Linked DNA regions of Drosophila melanogaster. The protein of the gene in region 1 interacts with the protein of each later gene in a pairwise test. Each region holds a gene or a part of one and is shown on either strand. Other genes may lie near its edges.

What was found.
Region 2: the proteins of TTLL4A (region 1) and CG15482 interact in a two-hybrid assay, tested with the Drosophila melanogaster proteins (one large-scale study listed by BioGRID).

Annotation. Positions count from the first base shown.
Region 1 is NT_033779.5:10,987,517-10,992,453, reverse strand, and holds the start of TTLL4A (tubulin tyrosine ligase-like 4A), read right to left. Parts: upstream 3,054-4,937; 5' UTR 2,864-3,053; intron 2,799-2,863; 5' UTR 2,580-2,798; intron 2,481-2,579; 5' UTR 2,270-2,480; coding exon 1,671-2,269; intron 1,396-1,670; coding exon 569-1,395; intron 485-568; coding exon 134-484; intron 81-133; coding exon 1-80. Other genes in the region: CG12253 (uncharacterized protein), read right to left, coding at 3,287-3,405, 3,472-4,168, 4,299-4,619.
Region 2 is NT_033779.5:13,210,137-13,213,732, forward strand, and holds CG15482 (uncharacterized protein), read right to left. Parts: upstream 1,679-3,596; 5' UTR 1,646-1,678; coding exon 716-1,645; 3' UTR 637-715; downstream 1-636. Other genes in the region: Pect (phosphoethanolamine cytidylyltransferase), read left to right, coding at 1-92; kek4 (kekkon 4), read right to left, coding at 2,521-2,807, 2,873-3,596.

The DNA.
Region 1 (4,937 bases):
AATTTTCTGATACGAACGAATGGCCTTAAAACACGGTGACTTTAAATGCTTTCCCCATACGCCCATCCAGTCGTTGGTTTCTACTTGCGAAAATACATATTAATTGATATCTGATTATTATGTAGAAACTCACTCTTTAGCATTCGCATTCCGCTGTTGGCCAGAATCAGACGAACTACCTTTGGCATTATGTTTGTAATGCGCCACTTCAAAACGCGATGAAGATCCGGCGGCACGCGTGGACCTCTTTTTGTGTTCGACGAAAAAGACAAATAAGGGGGCACGTAGGGAAACAAACTGGGAACCAGAAGGGAATCCGGATTTTTCAGATCATCCTCAGACGACTGCGAAGACAAGAAGCTGGGCGTGCTTTGGGGCGATGAAAATCGATCCACAGAGTGGGTAAGCTTGAAGGCATGGGCACGATAACCGTCCTCAGTGTCTGACAAAACACTCGCCGTGTCGCTTTCGTCGAAATTTGATACTATTATTTGGTTAAACAATGAAGTACAAATTAGTTAATTATCAATTAATTAAAAAAAATAGATCTAAGGTTAACAATTCTTACAATTGTCGAGATCATCATCTTCGTCGAAGTCGTCATTACGATCGAAGTCAATGGCACTACGGTGATCTTCCTGTTTGTGTTCCGGCTCCAGCAATAAGACCGTCTGTCTTTCATCACCTGCACCCAGTACCTTGGAGCTCTGCTGCTTTACACTTAGCCGCTGGGTGCTGAACTGCTGCTTGCGGCCGAGCCGTGGACTCTGAGTGCTGTACAGCAGGACTCGGTGAACCGTGGGCATTGGCTTTTTGGTAGACACGGTCCCACCTTTGGCCCTCTTTGGCGTCATGGGCAACCGTGGCATGGGCTGATCCGTCGACTTACGCATAATCTTTAATTCATTATTGTTGTTATTAATAAGCGTGTCTCCGGAGCCATCCAGGACCGTATTTTCGGTCATTCTGCAGTAGCGCCGATGTACTCCGACCTGCTCCAGCCCATTGTCAATTACAACAACGGGGTCATAGCTATCTTTAATGTCCCTGTAGTCATCTTCGCTTCCAGGGTCTCCTCCCCAGCCATTGTCTAGGTAATCGGCTTTTAAATCATTGCTTGGGAGCTTTTCCTTTAGCACGTGCTTCTCATACTTTTGACCCTGCCAGGTCCTGTCCTCGGAATTGTCCCTTCGTCCAATGATAACTGTGCCATCGACTTCTCGCGAATCCCTGCGACTGGCGCCGGCCTTTTGAAATTTACTCATTGGCACTTTGCGGCTATTGGCAGCGGCAAACGTTGGCTTGGACAGTTTCTCCGCTCCACGGTTGTAGAAGTACGAAAAATAGTGCTGATAGTGCTGGTTTGTCGTCTGATACTGGACCGGGCGTTCCGAGCTGAAAAACGAGAATGGAAGGCGGTTATTTACAACATGGGGAACAAAGGAAACTGTTTATTGTTTACACATCTATGTATGTTCAATGAGTGTCTGTGGATATATTGTTAATGTACTCGCAACTAGAGTGTTGTGTGGTATCTATCTGTAGTTTTCCAAATTGTAACTTTAAGACTCGAACACAACAACAACAAAATACGTGTGTGTGTGCGTGTACTGGAGGTATGTAGTTTCAACAAGCAGGACAATTAACAAAAAGGCATTTGCATAAATTACAGTATGTTATCCCAGGTCGGCTCTGGTGAGGGGGAATTGAGTGGCCGATATCGGTCCGGACTATTGTCCACATAATCGTTGGACACACGTCCCCCTCGGTCTTTCCGTTTCTTTAGCTCCGCATCAAAGTATACGATGGATGGCTGCAACAACATCTGCTGCTGTTGCTCCTTGTCTACGGCATATGACCTTGCCTGCTTGTACTGCCTATTGGAATGCTGATCCTCCGATCGCTGTACCGTCTGATAGACGTACTCGCAGCTCTTGTTGCCAGCTATCCGCTGGTTGACCAACGATTGCTGGCCAAATGCATCGGTAAACAGTGATGAGTCCGGCGCCGAATTGGCCGCCGATTGGTGGTAGCTTGATCTGGCCGATTGCTTGGTGGGAATTCTCTTTGTCGGCAGATTATGGTTCTGGTTGGGCACTGAATTTTGATTCTGGTTCTGGCGATTGCCCCACGCTGGAGCGATCAGGTTGCAGTTATCGTAGCTATAGTAGCAAAACGTATTGTCCGCATTGCAGTAACGTGACGCCGGGGCTCCATTGTTGTTCAGACTGTTGCTAGCTGGGATATGATAGCCGCTGTTGTTACGCATGTCAGATCCTGGTCACCCAGTCATATATCTGTTGAGGGGTACGTACTAAGCTCGATGTGATCTCTGACTCCGCTAACCCAAAAAAAGGCCTACAAACAGGTTTTAAATGCTGTGAATGATTTCTGATCGGATTTGGACGTAAGTTTACGGATGCGGATTAATCATATCTGGTGGATAGATAGAGAGAAGCCAGAATGCATAGTATGCCACTCTGGCGGTGAATATACAATATAGATTAACCCCGCCATCACCCTGGGCTACCAAGCGTAGCTGCCACTCCGTAAACCAGGTCATATGTACAAAAACTTACTTGCCTCGCGATTTGTGACCTTTACTTTGTTGCTGCAGCTGGAAGGATTAACGGGCACGGAGCAGGATTGCGGTGGCGGTGGTGGTGTCGTTACTCTACCCAAGCGCAGGACTCCCAAAATCTAGGTCACTGGCACTTGTCGTCAGCTAGCTCGGTGTGATTACATTGCCAGCACGAAAAATGCGCCAGGTGTAAATGTATGTAAAATGGAGGCAAAAACTGAAATGCAAATCGAACACACATCCTTTATAATCATAATGATTGCGGAGGCACAATATACCTACAATATAACTAATAGCAAATGCACAATTTTGTCTAATAAATATATTGGATTATTTGGTAGCTTCCAGTTAAGCGTGAAATTCTTAAACGTTCACTAAAACTTTTCACAGCCTATGACAACAAAAAACTAAACTACTGTTTTATTGAAGAACAGAATATCCATGTGCACAGTTTGGAGATGGCAGCGTGAGCACCTCAAACTGCCACCTCGCGATAGATACCGATTGCGCACGCACCAGCTGTTCGGCCGATAGGGGACTTCCCGAAGAAACCGTTTTAATCGCTCACTTTACCCGTTTAGCCTGGTTTTGAATCGGAAAAACACGTAAGGAAAATCGACATCATAGGTTTGTTTTTAATAATTTTAATACTGAAAGTTACAAATTGTATTCGTAATGGGTTCTGTTTGCAAGAACTCTTATTTATTAGCAAGCAAAATGGGTTTTAATGAATTGTCTTCGATTGTTGTCATCTCCGGATTTTGGTGACCTTCCTATGGAATTGAAGAAAGTGGAATTAAAGGGTGAAATGTTCTGTTCCGTATCTAAAAAGATAAATGAAAACCAATAAACAATGAGCACTTTAGGATCTATAGCATTAGTTAGCTTACCAATGCTTGGATCGACCCACTCCATGGCCATGTTGTGGAGTATGGCCAACGCCGTAATCGTTTGCTTTGCAGATCCATGGGAACCCTGGATTTCGGTGGCAAGGATACCGAAGCGACTCATCAGCAGATTGAGACACTTTCTAGCCGATGCGTAGGTGACCGCGTGGGCGTGGTTATACAGCTCCTCGGATTGGTTCCTCGGGAATCGAACCGGTGTGAACAGGGAGGAGGAGCAGCGCACCATTTCGTTGCCCAGCAAAATACGACCCCGGAACTCGTTCTGTTCGAATCGATCCTTTATTTTGGACAGACCGAACATCTCGGTGTCGGTGAGCATGGACTGCTCATCGATCAGTCGGATATCAAGGTCCCTTATCTTATGAGCCGCATCGCAAACAATCTGAATGTGAAGTTCCTCCTCCCGGCTGGTAAGGGCGGGCAAAAGCTCCTCTCCATCCAGATCAGGGGCACAGTTTTCCGGTTGAAACCTCACAGTTGTCTGTAGTAAAGCACCAATGACTTGCGGCATATTGGCAATTGCTTGAAACGCCGAACCAGATCGCTCCTTTTCCGATAGAGTAGCCGGCATTCGGATATACCTGGAAGCTTTCGATGATAGGACAGATGCCACGCGCCTAGTTATTTTTGCCAAAGTGCGTAAACTAACGCCATGGGCCATTGCAGTTAATTTGGGGTGCTTAAATAAGAAAAAAATTTAGTAACAAATCTTAGTTTTCATTTTTGGCGGGCAATTTTGAAAGCCAGTTCACACGGTTTTGATGTACATACAAATTCGCGAGTCTGGCATACAGAAATGTTTACTGTACCTCTGTGCCGCCCCACAAGCGAATAGCGGATAGAATCTGCAAATCTATTGGAACTTGCTCCCTCTTTAACGGCTCAAAATATTCAATTTCCAAGTCATCCCGTACAATTTCAATAATTCTGCGAAGGTTTTCCTTAGTGTATCGGTACTTTAGTCGAAATTTATGCTCATTTAGATCGGTCAATGGATTAAATCTTGGGTTCCTTTTCTTTATATGCGTTGCCCGCGCTCGAGAATTGTGTTTGATATTCAGAAAACATTGAAAGTCTTTGAAATAATCAAAGTCTTTTAGAGACCTTTGAAATCTTTGTATATCTTCCATTTTCACTTGTTTACTTGCATAGCAGGGTGGCTGTTTTGTATATATTAGAAAATACCTCATACGTACATGCGGTATTTAAGGCTCTTGCAACGATTGAAATTTTATGATGAAACTTTACACTTTAAAAATAATCTTTTTAAATGTTGTTAATTAAAAAAATGTAAGTAAGTAAATTAATACTTTTATTTTTTTTAAGCACGTTATGTACTTTTGGAGTTAAATAATTTTTTTTTATGTATTTCTATACTTTTAAAAAAACAGAACAGAAAGAAATCAAAGCTCGAAGTACCAAAAAATAAATACTAGGGAAATAGAACC
Region 2 (3,596 bases), 2.2 Mb from region 1:
AATATGAGCGTCGCAATCAGGCCAAAGAAAAGAAGGAAATCGAAGCCTTTGAGGCACTTCAACGCCAAAAACAGACCCAAAAGGCCGGCTAGCCGGAACCAGATTCCGACCTCTCACACTAGACGGATGTTTTTTATTTTCTAGTTGCGTTCTTTTAGTTTGTTTTATTTAGTTTGTCTTGTTTAGTATGTCGTCCCCTGATGATGGCGCTTTAATTTTTTGTTGCGTAAAAAGCGAAGCGACGCTGCCTGAGGATTCAGCGCACCGCTCTCTCGATTTCTAGTACAATTTTAGAATATCTGCACATGCGCCTTAATGATATAAGGTTATACACATAATTATATATTTCTAACACATTAACGTAGAATATTTAAAATCTAAATTTTATGTATGTAAGCTCAAAATTTGTAAATTCCCTTTAAAGTACGATGTAAGTGTGAGGAACAACAAAATTGTACGAATAGCATGTTATCCAAACTGTTGCCGAATTGAAAAGCCTTGTACGACTTGTATGTATATATATTCAGCAACGGAAGTAGGATGCCTGGATCAGGAAGTAGCTGCTTTTATCAAATGTAATCTCTGATACTTTGTCCTAATTTATTAATGCATATAGTAAGTGCGAGTTCAAGTTTTATGTTTCCTTGTTTAATCTTAGACTTAAATACATGGCCAAAAATATTGCGAATTCCAAAAAAAAAAAAAACCGGAAGTTTTATATACTTGCCTCGCTAATCACTTTCAGTTCGACGGTTAGCGATTGCTGCCAAACATCTAAATCCATTAGTGGCCGGAGGTCATTCAAGCTGATGAGGATCACGTTGCTGTCGGTCTTGATGAACTCACTGCAGGATTGGTTCGACGACAGTGGCAGCATTGGACGAGCTTTTATCTGTCTGGTGTAGTAACGTGGCAGGTTGGCAGGTTGGACCAGCAGGCGCAGAGTGATGGCCACGCCGTGCAAAGGAGTAGCCACCCAGATGGCCAGGACTTCGTGTTTGACACGCTTCCTTTCCCACAGCACCGAGTGCATGGTGCGGCAGGCGAAGATCATAAGGGCGCTATGCTGCGAGAAGCGGCGGTACTCCACTGGCAGATGGGTGTTTCGGTGACATTTCAGAGGATTAAGGCCAGTGCGCCGATAGCCATAGACCCCCAGCAGGGTGTTGACATCTCTTTCCAGGCTACTAATATGACATGTTAGTGACACTCGCTTGCCCATTTCCAGTTCATAAAACGGAACTCCCATTCCCGGCAGATGGTCACTCAAATAGTGACCCAACAGAGCGCTGGGGTCAACCGAGCATAGGCATCCGTGACATGGGCATGCCACCAGGCGCAGTCGGCTCCACGGCGAATCGCTAGATGTGGTCGCAGTGCTCTTCCTGCTGCTGGACGGCTGCTCGGTCAGCGATTCGAAGTTCTGCAGTTTGAGGAGCAGCTGATCCTCGGGAGCTGGCGCGGCCACCGATGCCGGCAGTCTGTAGTTGGAAAAGTGTTTCGTGTACAGCAAATCTTGCATTTCCTGCAGGCGCTGCTTTCGCCTCTCCTGACGCTTTCGATTCCGGCTCAATCCATGGATGGGAGATTGATCTTTGCCGGAATCGGCGGCCTGGTTGGTACGCGAGGTAAATGGCGCAGTCATTGTGGTAGGTAATCAGGCTTGCCAAAACGACATAATTTTGATAAGAAACTAGACAGATAGACAGATACTAGCAACTTTTGAAAGTCTACTGTGTTGACAAGTAGATCCTTTTGATTTTATAATAGTTAAATATTTATTATTCAGTTGGGCCGAAATCCCGGCGGTACTGCAATACCGGGCCAACCCGCGACAGAGGTGGAGCAAGCCCCTAGCACTCCGTCTGATTCCAAAAATCAGTTTAACATTTGTTGTCCTCCAATGGAGGAACTATCAGATGTTAAGCTGATAAGAACAGATACTACACTTTGATCTTAGCCATAAGGCCGAGAAGCGATAACTTGAAACGGAAAACGAAAAGGGTCTCCATGAGCAAACGGCCAGAAGCAGTTGGGAATTGTAGCACACACAAGAATGAATTCGGGGTAGGTCAGGGATGATAGAACGTAGAGTACGGTAAAAGTGGGTCAGGTAAATAAAATCAAACGATTTACTAAAAATGCTTTTTAGAATTCGATGATAATATAAGATTAATTCAAGTAAGCTACACATTTTTCATTTAAAGGCATCACTTAAAACTTTATTATTACATTCCTTTCACTTAAAGTGCGTGGGTTAAAACACTTAGAACTGTGTAAATAAATATTTTTATATATTAGTAACGTTTTAAAATACATAATTTACTACCAGAAATAAGGCGAGGTATATTTCTTCTTGACTGGATCTCCTTTGTCCATCTATCTCCTGGAGGTCTTAGAGAGGTAGGGCTGGATATGAATTGAAATCCTGGCAAAGACTAAAATTTCAATGGCATGGGGTTTACGGTGGATTCGCAGCTGTGTATGGTGGGAAATGCCATATTATAAAACATTAATATATTATATTGAGATATCAACACCAGTAATGGGTTCTTTAGTACTGATATTCTTTATTCTAACACTGCCGTACTTCTCCTTTAGGTACTTTTGCACATTGGTATTGTACTTGCTTCGGGGATTAACTTCTGCTTTTTTCGCTGATGGACCGAAAGTTTCATTAATATTTTTTAAGGCAGTAGGTTGAGTGGAAGGCAAAAGGTCCGGTTGGAGTTCATCGATTTGTCCCTTCTTTCTTGAGCAGCCTGTTGATTGCAAGGAACTCTGCCGGGAATCCTTATCGAGCTCATCTAAGTAGGAGAAAAACAAGAATAAGTTAAAATTTGAGCACTAATTTTATTTGGCATTTTATTGCCTTTCTGTTTGAGCTCTTCCTTTTCCCGGTCACCAGCTATATTTGAATAGAGCTCCCGATTCCGCGATGAAATGGATTCCGCCTGATTGTCTAGATTTTCAGTATATGTGTTGCTGTTTAATCTCACGTCTTTATAATTTCTCGTGTGCATATACTCGCTGCCATTCGAATTGGATGTTTTAAATAAAGTGTAATTTTTATTTGATGGTTCATTGATAGCACTTAATGGATCCAGCACTATTTTACTTTCCCTTATAACTCCAGAACTTAGGGCGCTGATGGCGGTGGCTTCTTCACTGCCAGGTGACTGAACGGGCAAACTAGTGGGTTGCAAATAAGTGTGCTGGCCGGGATGGAACTGCTTGAATCTCTTAAATATTAGGCATGTTACCAACGAAAATAGAATCGACATGCTGAGAAAACCCATGGCTATAAGGCAGACTATTGCAAAGAAGTTGCTGTCGATGAGGGAAATCCTTTCCATATCCTTTTGCACCACCACACTTATGTGAACCGAATCCTTGCCACCGGGATTTTCCGCCAGACAGGTATAGACGCCCTCATCGCTCTTACGGGCATTAACTATCGTTAGACGTGACACAAAAACATCATGTCCGAATTTTCGAATCTTTGATTCATCCTCACGCAACAGTTCTATGTAGATGCGCTGCTTTTGCAGACTTTTCACCGGCTTGGAGCGGGATTCGTATACTTGATTGGTGTA